3 linked regions of the Diceros bicornis minor genome follow. The protein of the gene in region 2 purifies or fractionates together with the protein of the main gene of each other region. This does not show direct contact. Links are inferred from orthologs where the notes say so. Each region holds a gene or a part of one and is shown on either strand. Other genes may lie near its edges.

Region 1 (3,741 bases), on a different chromosome or scaffold from region 2:
CTGGTTGGCTCAGTTGTGTCACCTGAGCCAGGGGACTCCAGACAATGGAGCCAGTGGCCCGAGCAGGACAGGGCACAGACCCAGTCAGTTCTCACCATACAATGCCCTCCCCCCTCCAGCTGTGCCATGAGCTCACTGCTTCTCCCACCCCACAGGGCTGCCGAGACAGCTGAGGCTTATGGGGCAAGAACCCGTCTCTGCCCTGGCCCCCGGGGGCAGAAGATCCCCTCCCCACCAATGCCTGCCATCTTCCTGGCTGGCCCAGCTGATGCACTATGCCCCCTCAACTCCCTAACAAAAGCCTTCATTTGCATATGGCATGCATCTTTTACATATGGTTCCCTTTCTGTAGGGAGACACTGACCCCAGCTGCCCCATCCCATCTTTCTGTCCTCAGGCCAAAACTCTCTTCTTCACCCTGTCCCCACCCCCCAGACCCCAGCCTGCTCCAGCAGATACTCCTGGCAGCCTTGAAGGGCTCAGCTTCTTCTTTCTCTCCCTCCATCCTTCCATAGCCCGGCTAGATAAGACTACAGAACCCTGGACTGTAAGGAGGGCTGGGTCAGCCCCCTGCCTCCATTTTACAGATGAGCAAGGTAAGGCAGGAGAAGTATAATGTCTTGGCCAAGATCCTACTGTCCTTGGATGTCTTCCAGATGCCCCTGCAGAGGGACAAAGCCAGGGAGAAAGATGGGGAACTCCAAGGCCAGGCCTGTGGGGACTGACCTCACCAACTAAAATGGCACCCCAGGGACATACCCAGGGCCTTTCTGCAAGGGCTGGAGGAAAACACCAAGTCTGTGGTCAAATTCAGTCCTCCAGCTCCTCCAGAAGGGCTCCCCTTGACTTTCCCTCCTGAGCTGGGCTAATCTTAGCCCCTGCTTCCTGTGGCCAAGGCACGAGGAGAACTTGTGGTTGCTTGGTTAGAGCAGAGCACAGGCTGGGAGTCAGGAGGTCGGGTTCCAGCCCCAGCCCCATCCCCATCCCCAGCTATATGGCCTGGCCCTGGCCCTTCCTCCTAGGCCTCAGTTTCCACAATGGAGGAGAGCAAAGAGCTTCCACTCTGACAGTGAGTGTGTGACTCAGGAGGGCCCTGCCTGAGGGCATTTCATAATCAGAGCCAGCCGAGCTGACATCTTCCCTGGCCTCCAGGCAGACTCTGCTCAGATGGACCCCTCCCACCTTCCTGGCTCCACAACTGCTGATGCTTGGAGATCCCCATGGGAAAGTCACCCCACCATCTTAGGAAACCAGCTGCCAGGCCACTGTCTCTCCCCAGCCAGGTCCCCTCCTCGGTGTTAGAGAGGGAAGGGAGAGAGCAAAGAGGCCTGCTTTGGAGTCAGATGGATCTGGGTTCAAATCCCAGCCCCAACAATCACGAGACGTGTTCGCTGGGACAAGTTACTTCATTTTCCTCATCTGTGAAATGAACGTTTAAGTGCCTGCACGCAGTGGGCGCTCAGATCTCGGCAGGCTCTTCCATCTCTGCGCACCACACTACGCCACCTCCCCTGGGTTCCTCTCTGCTCCACGCTGCCCACTGGGGAAAACAGGCCAAGCGCTAGGCAACCAGGCCCCACAGCTCCTTCCTCTGTACACCCTCCTGCCTCCCTCCCAGGTCCCCGCAGAGAGGACTCATTCTAGTCCCACAGGGGCCAGAGACCTATGCAGCAGGGGGAGACTCTGCTTGGCGCTGCAGTGGAGCTCTGGTCCAGAAATAGGTAGCTGGGGCTACGTCAGCCTGCACCTTGACTACGGCAGCTCTGAATTCTGGCGACGAGGCCACCCCCCAGCCCCCCCTTGTGCTCTTATTTCAAGGGCCTCAGTCTCCTGAACATCTGTACAGGTATCGCTGCCTTCGTGCCATACTCCTCCCCAGACCGCCTCCTACAGGGAACCCTCCAGTTCAGGCCAAAACCAATTCCACTGTCACTGCCCCCATGCATCCAGTAGCGGTGGCCCAGAACACCCCCCCGTGAACACCCACCACGACAGGCACTGGGTGCTTGGAGATCCCAGCAGCTGTCTCCATGGAGCCTGGTTTCTCCTAAGGCAGGGAAGCTGGGACTAGGGGGGTGTGACAACCAGTGGGAGGCTACAGAGCCAAGTGCCATTTGGAAGAGGGAAAGTGGGGCAAAGGGAGATCTGCCCAGAGTGGAGATGGGGGTGAGAGAGGGAACTGCCCCCAAACTCAGATGATGAAGGGGGGGTAAGAACCGACCCCTGGGCCTCCAGCCAACCCCAGGCAATGATGAAGCCGGGCAGGCACTGCCCACGCAGGGCAGGCACCCAAGGCTGGGCCTGAGGCTGACTGAGGCAGAGATGATTCTCAGCATTTGGGCGCAGTGACCCCAAGACCTGAGTATGCCGGCCTAGAAGTGGGGCCTGGCTCCCGGAGGCCTGGCCGTCCCTGGGGGAGGCACCTCGGTGGGTCCTCACTGTGCCCCAGTCAGTGGCCTAGAGCTGGGGAGCCTTCACCAACCCCCAAGACCGGCTCGGCGGACGGCCACAAAAAGGCAGCTGGGCGTCGAGCCCAGGGAAGCTGGAGGCGCCCCTGATGGAGAAGGAGGGTGCGAGGGGCTCCGAAATGCTGGGGTGACGGCCGGACTGGTAGCCAGGTGCCAGATATCTGCCCGGCGGGGCTGAGGGCCAGGGCGGGGGCCGGGCTTACCCAGCATTAGCAGCAGCAGCAGCGGAGGACCGAGAGCGCCCATCCTGCGCGGCCCGCTCTGGGGAGGCTCCGGGGGATGGCGCGGGCTCTGGGTGGCCGGGAACTCGGGGGGCGCATGCCCAGGTGGGGGGCACGAAGCAGTGCAGTGAGGCGTGGGTGCGCAGAGCCGAGCTGAGCCGAGCGGGAGCTTCCAAGTCCCCTCCTTCCTCCCCTCCTCCTTTCTTCCTCCTCCCCCCGCTTTCCCTCCCGCCTCGGCGACTCCGAGGACCATTCCCGCCCCGCCCTGCCCGGGCCCCGCCCCCGCCCTAGCCCCGGGCTCCCGACCCTGCCCCGGTCCCCAACCCTGCCTTGACCCGTCCTGACCCTGGCCCAGCCCTGGTCCCCGGCTCCGTCCCTACCCAGGTCCTGGACCTCAGCCCGGGCTGCGCTCGCACCTGTTCCCGGCTCCGCCCTGACCCCGGCCCAAGCCCCGCCCTGACCCCGGCCCAAGCCCCGCCCACCTAGGTCCTGGCTCCACCCCTACAGGCCCCGCCCCCGCCCCGCCCGGCCCCGGCTCCGCCCCGACGCCGACCAGCTCAAACTGGTGGCTCCTGGGCGCTGCTAAATCTCCACCCAGCCCCGCGCAGAGTGCACCCTCGCCTCGCACCTGCCGGCCTTTCCCTGAGAGTTGGGTGCCGGGGCCCTGCGGTCGGTGAGGTGACTAAAGCCACCCACTTAGAATCCAGTTATTTGCTCTGGGCCGCTAGGCCTCGCAGCAAACTCCGCCGAAGTGGCGATGGGCGGGACCCAGGGCTTCCGGAGCGCGGAGGATCTGGATTGAAAGGCGTGTCAGGGCTCCGCAAGGTCACGGGAGACCGGTTTGCCACCCGCTCTGGGCAGAACCAGAGGAAGTGGGTTAGGAGAGTGGGCCGTCTGGGCGCCGTCACTTCTTGATTGGTGATCCTGGTCAAGTTGCTTAACTTCTTTCAACCTCAGTTTTCTTGTGGGCAAATTGAAGTGGGGTGACATCCACCCCAAAGGGTTTTTGTGACGATTAATTGAGATAATGTACATAAGGTGTTGGGCACAGG
Region 2 (3,741 bases):
GCCCTGGGGTCTCTGTGCAGAGGGTGGGGGAGCAAGTATGTGTGTGGGCATGCAGGGTGACCGGGTTCCTCTTTGCAGAAGCATGCCAGACTGCCTCTGATGCCTCCTCCCACGCGGGAAGCCTTTTTACTCTCTAATACGGAACTTGAAAAAGTGCCCCTATCCAGATACCTATTATCAACCTCTCCTCCTGGCTCCTGCCCTCAGCACCCCCTTACTGCACTAGGGCCGGGGTGCACGGTGAGGAGTCAGGCTAGGCACCAGGAGCCCTCCTTCAGCCACTGGGCCCTGCAGGAGCCTCCCAGGCACCCAAAGCCCCTTCCCCGAGGCACTGCCTACACCAACAGGCTTGGCTCTCCTTGGCTGTCTTCCCGGCCAGCCACCTTGCCCAACATCCATTTCCTGAGCGTGGCCTCTACTCCCATTAGCTGATCCACCAACAATCCCAGGAGAGAGGAGTCTGAGGACTCCCACTTCAGAGGGGAGGGAGCTGAGGCCCAGGACCCAGAGCACCAGAGCAGTAGAGCAGTGGGGTGGGGACTCCACCCGGCCAAACTCGCCCCTGCACCATGCTCTCAGCCAAGAGATGCCAGGGGGCAGAGAGCAGCTCTGACACGGTGGTGCCCGGCAGCCCCGCCTGGCTCAGCCCAGCATCTCCCCACTGCAGGGGGTGGCCCAGCATGGGTGGGTGGGGCCATGGTGACTATAGATGGCTCCAGTTCTCAATGTTCAGCTGGGCAGGCCCCAGGAAGGGAGAGGAGAGGCCTTGGAAGCATTTCCTTAAGCCTCAATAGAAAGCGGGCCGGAATGCAAGGCCTCCATCCCAGCTGCCTGGGAAACTATCAGATTCAGCCAGGCTGAGCTCCAGGGGTCCCGTCCTGGAGACCTCCCAGGCTGGGCAGGTGGGAGGGACTTGCCACCCGCACTGACACCTAGCCCCGCACTGACATCTAGCCCCAGGCAAGAATCCACTCCTGGAGAAGTTCCCTTCCTCTGCCTCCCCTCCACCTCCCCACCGGGGTCCTCGCCCCAACATCCAGGCTTTGCTTGTAGGGGATGGGCTCAGGGGCCAGCCGAGAGGTGTCTGGACGTTGTTCCCCACTTGCCTGGGCCAAAGGAGGCAAACACCAAATCCACACCGACACCACCCCAGGTAGGATGTGACACCCCATTCCACCCCCAGCTAGAGTTTAGTCCAGTCTCTGTCCTCCCCACCCCAAATACCTCACTGCCCCGAGATCTGCCCTGAGATCACCGGCCGTCCAGATGGCAAGCACATGTCCCCAGTCCCACACACTGGCTCCAGGGGCCATTTAAAAAGTTCACCCTCCCTGCGTCAACTTGAAAAATACGCCACCCCCCAGGCATCACCCTGGTCCTCAGTGGGAAGGGGTGAGCAGCCTGGGGTGGCAAAGCAGCAGTGAGGGGGCCCGGCAGGGGGTCCTGGTCACTGCCCAGGGGAGCACTGAGAGGAGGCAGGGCACGGCCATCGAGCGAGCTCCTGACACCCATCCAGGGGCCTACCAAGCCAAAAAGAGATCTCCACCCCATTCCCCATTCCAACATCGACAGCAAACAGAAACAAAAGCAAAAGCGTCATCAGTCACTGGGCAGAGATTAAGAATAAGGTCAGGAAGACGCAACTCTCAGGCCAGCAGCCTGGGGACCCCGGGGAGACCCTGCCGCACCCAGAGATGACCACCCTGTGGCGCTCCTCTTTCCAAAGTGGATGCCCAAGCCCGGATCTGGGCACCCACCCGGACCCAGGCCCCCAGAGTTCAGAGGCGCTCAGGTCTTCACAGCCCCCTGCCCTGTGCCAGCTCAGAACGCAGGCTCGGACCCCACTCCCCTCAAAGCTCCGGGGGTCGAGGCTGGGATGGAATCTCAGTCTGGGTGAGGAGGGCAAGAGGACCGGACCACACAAACCGGGGCCACTATGGTGCAAGCACCCCAGCACACGGGCCATCAGGGCCCAGGGCGCTTTCTGTCTGAGCTCCGCCCCGGGCCCGGACCCCCAGGACGATCCCCAGGATGGCGACAGCAGACTGGGGGGTGAGCTGGGCTAGGCCAAGAGTGGGGTGGACGTTCCTCAAGACTCGGACGGAGTGTGCGCAACCCCCCCGCCCCCCTCCTCACCCGGCCGACCATCAAGGGGAGGTGGCCTCGATGAGCTCATGGGGGCGGGGCGCCGGGAGCCCCGCCCTCGAGCCCCCTCTCCATCCTCGCAAAACAGGGTGGTCCCAGGAACAGCGCCAGGTGGGCTGAGCGGCGGCGGGGTACGCGGCCCAGAGCCCGCACCCACCGCAACCCCGACTATCACCAATCGGTAACAGACCCGAGGCGCCCAAACGCCCCGGCCCGGCCGCGGGGCTCTGGGCCCGGACGCGCAGAGGCCCCGAAACCCGGCTCGCAGCCCCCCGCCCCACCGTAAAGCGGCGCGGCGGCCCCAGACGGCCCCTAACGTCGCAGCCTACCGGCCCAGGACTCCCCGCCCCGCGCCCGGCGCGCACAGGTGGCCCAGCAACTTGGCGGCCCGGCTGCGCCCCCTCTGCGGGGCCTAGCGGGGCGCGCGGCCTGCGGTGCTCGGGGCGCGCGCCCCGCCCCCCCTTGCCCGGCCGGGGCTCACCCAGAAGACGAAATTGAAGACGAAGAGCAGGTACTTGATGCACTTGGTGCAGCCCTCCACCCCCATGGCGGCGCGGGCCGGTCCTGGGCGAGGGGCGGCGGGGCCGGGGCCTGGCGAGCAGCGGCCGGGGGCCGAGAGGTCGGCTTGAAAGCGACAGCGGGGGCGTAAGAGGCGCGCAGACGAGAGGCACACGGCGCAGGAGGCCTGGCCGGGGCGCGCTCGCTTTCTGGGCGGGCGCGCGCTCCGCTCCACCACTTATCGGGCGCCGCACCCTCCCCCACGCCCGGCAGGCTCCGCCTCCCGGCCCCGCTCATCCCGCTCCGCCCCGCCCCCCGCCTGCCGGGCGCGCAGGGGCTGCAGTCTGGTCCCCAGCCCGGCCTCCGCCGAGGCGGCCCGCAACCCCTCCTCCGTCGTGCCCACGCTAAGAGGACCTCAGTGCCGCAAGCACCACGGGGCTCGGACGCTCTGTTCGGCGCGCGGCAGGCGTCCCAGAGCCGCTGGCGCGCCCCGAGCCTCTACTAGGGGCTGCGCCTGAGGAAAGGCCTGCCGCCAGGGGTGGCCAGGGAAGACCTTCTCCCTCTCTCCTTCTCTCCTCCCTCAGGCTCCTTGGATATCCAAGGAGGCTCCCTGGAGGAGATGATGCGCTGGTGATGGTTATGCCAAGATAGCCGCGAGCTTTGTTTACATTGCTCGCTGGGAACAGGACCTGGGTGAAGCCTGAGTGTCAGGGGGCCTGGCCTGAAAATCCTACAGCGAAATTCTAGGCAGCCAAGCCCTTGTCCCGCGGACAGGGGGAGTTGCTGCCCGCTGTTAGAGGAGTCAGTGTTTGGAAAGGTCGCTGAGAGGGTGTCCCCTAGACCAGTGTTAAGTGTCCAGGAGGCCTAAGACACCTATAGGAGAACCTCCAAATATTGTGTATTTCATGGACACCCTGATGGTGCCAGTAGCCCAGGGAGGCCCACCCACTGCCTCCTGCCCTCACTGCCTGGGCAATGAGGAAGTGGAGAGGTGCCATATCAAGTGAGGGGCGCTTTGTCCCCAGGTGACGTGAAGATGAAGAGCTGGAAACATTGTGTGTCTGCAGGAGCCGTAGCACAAACGACCACTGACCGCTT
Region 3 (3,741 bases), on a different chromosome or scaffold from region 2:
TCAGCACAGCACAAATAGCCTTCAGGATCCATCCCAAATCCACCTCTCCAGTTTGCTCTCCCATTATATCCTCCTCCTCCCCCCTCCAGTTACATGGAACTTACATGCCATTTCTAAGTGAGCCAAGTACTTTCACTCATCCACACTCAGCGTCTTTCCCCAGAGCCTGGAATGCGCGTCCATCCTTTCTTTCAAAATTCTCATTATACTCAAGGCTCAGCTCAAATGTCACCTCTTCAGCCAAATCAACCCCAATGCCAAGTCAAAATTAATCATCCTTTTCCTTGCTTCCTACCAGCACCTGGTTTCTATGTCAGGCATTTCATTCTGTCTTGTAGCTAGCTGTTTGATTATCTGTCCACCCACCCCCATGGACCACTCAATGAGACACTGTGTCTCGGTCATTTATCTGGGACACTTTTATAGACACAGTGGGCGTTCACGAAATACTGTATTGAATGCATGGAGGGAACAGCTCAGACATAGGCAATGGAAGTGAAAATGTGCTCTATGAAGCTGAGTGGGTTCTGATGTGATCACGATAGGTAGACTTAGGAAAGCTTTATGGAGGAAATGAGTCTTAGAGGAAAAAGGAAATAATACAGGCAAGAAGAGAGAGGCAGGAAGGGCATTTCCAAGCCACGGGAAATGGAAGAGCCAGAAGGTTCACATCTATTCTATGTAAAGGAAGCAAACAGGATACTTAGAATGAAGTGTCTGAATCAGAGAGAAGACTAGAGGAGAGAAAACACAGGGGCAGCATATCCTTGGAAGAAAATCATAGAGAACCAATGAGCAAAGACGGGATCCCCAAAAATGATCCTTTAGGAAAATGATGAACTTAGAAGGGGGGCTAGAGGAAAAAGCCAACCAGGAAGATGTCAGAAGTGATCTATATGGGGAACTATCAGAACCTGGGCTAGGATAGTAGCTTTAGATCCAGGAAGGATGGGAAGACACTCAAGTCTGTACTCTGGGAAAAGCCACAGAGTTGAGGGACAGTGTGAACGTGGAGGTCAAAGAGAGTGACAGTAAGATTACGCCCAGGTTGCAATACAAGAGGAAAGACGATCTTGCTGATCAACATATTAAGTTTCAGGAATCAGTACCATGCAAGAGTGGTACAGCAGGGAGGGCTTCCCAGAGGTCAGACTGAAGCCACACCGAGTGAGATTCTGGGGGGCAGAGTTAGCAGGCGCGATATTAAGTTCAGGGAACTGATAGGAGAAAAGGCATTGGCTGGTGACACCACAGACATTCCCTATGCATAGTCAACATGAGATGTCCAGCCAGGGCAGGATACACTGATATACATCCAAGACTTCCCCAAGCTGGGCTTTCCCCACTTGTGTTTTGCTTTCCCCAGTCTCTCTTTGCCCCCTCTCCCTTTTTCTCCCTTATCATTGTTACTCAAAGACATTCTTTTCCAACTTCTACCTGACTCCACCCTCTTAACTTGTACTCAGGTTGTGAACTGCACAAGTCTAGGAGGAGTCATTCACACAGACTACGAAGTGAATAGCAGCCCCTAGAGTTTGTGCAGGGCACAGTCTGTGCAGCCAGTGGCCATGGCCCTGCTTGACTCAGACACATTAGCCAATTAACAGGTGTGGACTATCACCAGCAATGTGCAACAAATGGAGAATTTACAAGAGTCCCAGAGTAAAAGAAAAAGAATAAAAGCACTAGGATCCGAGACCACAGAAAAGATGCTACAAAATGGAGAGATCTGAAAACTTTCTGGACATGGTTGCAGCTAAAGCAATGCGGCTGGACGAGCTCTCTTAAGGAGTGAGTTCCAGAAGACCCCACAGAGGTGAAGGAAGAAAACCCAGTCGCAGCTAGAAAGGCTGACCCAGGAGCACCAGGAATCGTGGGGGTTGGGACAGTGTGGGCCCTGGTGCCAGCAGGATGGGAGTGGCTGTAGAAGGCCTCCACTGGGACCCTCTGACCATAAGCGCAGAGTAGTCATTTACCCTGTGTGCAGCTGGGGCCTGGCTGGGATTGACACCACACACCATGCGCTTCGTAAAAGATTCAGATATGCCTTCTCTAGAGGTGTGGAAGAGAATCCCTGGTCAGATCGCAGAATTCATTCTGTTCTGGTTGACACTGACCAAAGGGATCCAAGAATATCAGAGCATTTAAGAGTCAGCCGTCGTGTACCATGGTGGGCACTTAATAAGCAGATGTATTTCTGTGGCTGATAACCACATGATTATGTTAATATACCATATTACACTGCGTGAAGATGGTGTCTGTGTGTATGGATGAATGGAAAATGGAGAGGAAAAAAACCCACCAAAGATTCCTGGGGTTGGAGGAGGGCGCTAGGCCAAATAATCAAGAGGTTTAGGTTTAGGAACAGTGGAAGATAGGGAACAATAAGGGAGGAAAAGTAACAGGTCGGAAAAGTTGGAGAGGCCAAGGCTCCTAGGTCTTTGTGTGTAAATATGCAGCCAGGCAGCTTCAAGAAGAGCTAAAAGAAAAAACTGAGGCAGAGGATCCCGCCACAACTAACAGGACGGAAGGACTCGCACACCGATTTCTATTGTAGCGCTCTGGGCCATCCCGTGACCTTCGTAGAAGGAAGTTGGTTGGATTCCCTCGCTTCCCTGGAAAGGCAGCTCGGCGTGGGTTTGTGTGTGTGCAGAGCGATCCCGCCGGTCTCGGCTATGGCGGGGCATATCAAAGGAGCATATTTCAGCTCCCAAGCTGGGGACGCGGGCCGGAGACCGCAGCACCATCCGGGCCGGGAGTTCAAGGTGAGCCGGGCTCCCGGCCGCCAACAGGTAGGGAGGGATGGGGGAAGCCGGCCCCGGGCCACTCCCCCCCGCACATGCTGGGGGCGAGGCTCGGCCTGGCAGAGCGGCGACTCGCACCCCGCGCGCGGCCGGGCCGGGTTCGCGCCCGGCTCCCGGCGGCCCCGCAGCCGTCCCCCGCCGGGCCGCGCCGCCCGCCTACCCGGCCGGGCTCCCGGGAGCGGCCCCGGCACCCTCGGCGCCCCAGGCCGCACGCTGCAGCCGCGCCCCGCCGAGCCCCTCGGGCCCGCCGGTCCCCGCGCGCACTCACCCAGCGACAGGAGAGCCAGCAGCAGCGGCCTCGGCGCCAGGCGCCCCATGCTCGCCGGGCGGGAGCGACTCTCCCCCTCCTCCTCCTTCCCCGCCGCCTCTCCTCCTCCTCCTCCTCCAGCTCCGGCTGCTCCAGAGTCAGCGCTCCTCCGCCTGGGCCGCGCGCCTGCTCCGCTCTCCTCGCGAGCCGAGAAATCCCAGCGCTGGGGCGGACGCGCGCCCCTTGCCCTGCGCCCGCCGCCTCCCGCCCTCCCTCCTCCAGCCGGCCGGGCACCGGGAGCCGGGCGCCAGAGCCGCCCCGCCGAGCCGAGTGTGCGGCCCCGACCGCTTCCCGAAAGCAAAAGGGAAGAACCGCAGCGCCCGCCCGCCCGCCCGCGCCTCCCATCCGGCGCTTTGCCAGCAACAAACACAAACTTTCCCAAGCCCCTCCCCGCTCCAGGTAACGGAGGAAGCGCCGGGGCCACCCGCTTAAAGGGGAGGAGGCGTCGGAGCCCACCCAGCTCTCCCCCTCGGGGCCCCCGCCCCTCCATCAACTTTCCGCCGACCTTTAAAAGTTGGCCTTGGAAAGACTCATCTGGAAATCCCATCGCTTTAGCTCCATTCCGGGACACCCCGCATTCCACCACTCTGGAGTCACCCACGCGTGTCTGCTATTCCCTCTCCTAACTCC

The links.
Region 1: the proteins of CD81 (region 2) and IGSF8 purify together in Homo sapiens (co-immunoprecipitation; 3 studies listed by BioGRID and IntAct, with this or other methods). This does not show direct contact. The link is inferred for Diceros bicornis minor from reciprocal best matches to the Homo sapiens genes CD81 and IGSF8.
Region 3: the proteins of CD81 (region 2) and PTGFRN purify together in Homo sapiens (co-immunoprecipitation; 7 studies listed by BioGRID and IntAct, with this or other methods). This does not show direct contact. The link is inferred for Diceros bicornis minor from reciprocal best matches to the Homo sapiens genes CD81 and PTGFRN.

The regions. Positions count from the first base shown.
Region 1 is NC_080743.1:64,784,138-64,787,878, forward strand, and holds the start of IGSF8 (immunoglobulin superfamily member 8), read right to left. Parts: upstream 2,648-3,741; 5' UTR 2,337-2,647; coding exon 1,988-2,336; intron 1-1,987. UniProt on the Homo sapiens protein: Member of the immunoglobulin superfamily (IgSF) that links tetraspanin-enriched microdomains to the actin cytoskeleton and plays several important roles in innate and adaptive immunity.
Region 2 is NC_080770.1:2,345,293-2,349,033, forward strand, and holds the start of CD81 (CD81 antigen), read right to left. Parts: upstream 2,826-3,741; 5' UTR 2,693-2,825; coding exon 2,627-2,692; intron 1-2,626. UniProt on the Homo sapiens protein: Structural component of specialized membrane microdomains known as tetraspanin-enriched microdomains (TERMs), which act as platforms for receptor clustering and signaling.
Region 3 is NC_080743.1:49,262,932-49,266,672, reverse strand, and holds the start of PTGFRN (prostaglandin F2 receptor negative regulator), read right to left. Parts: upstream 2,763-3,741; 5' UTR 2,748-2,762; coding exon 2,543-2,747; intron 1-2,542. UniProt on the Homo sapiens protein: Inhibits the binding of prostaglandin F2-alpha (PGF2-alpha) to its specific FP receptor, by decreasing the receptor number rather than the affinity constant. Functional coupling with the prostaglandin F2-alpha receptor seems to occur.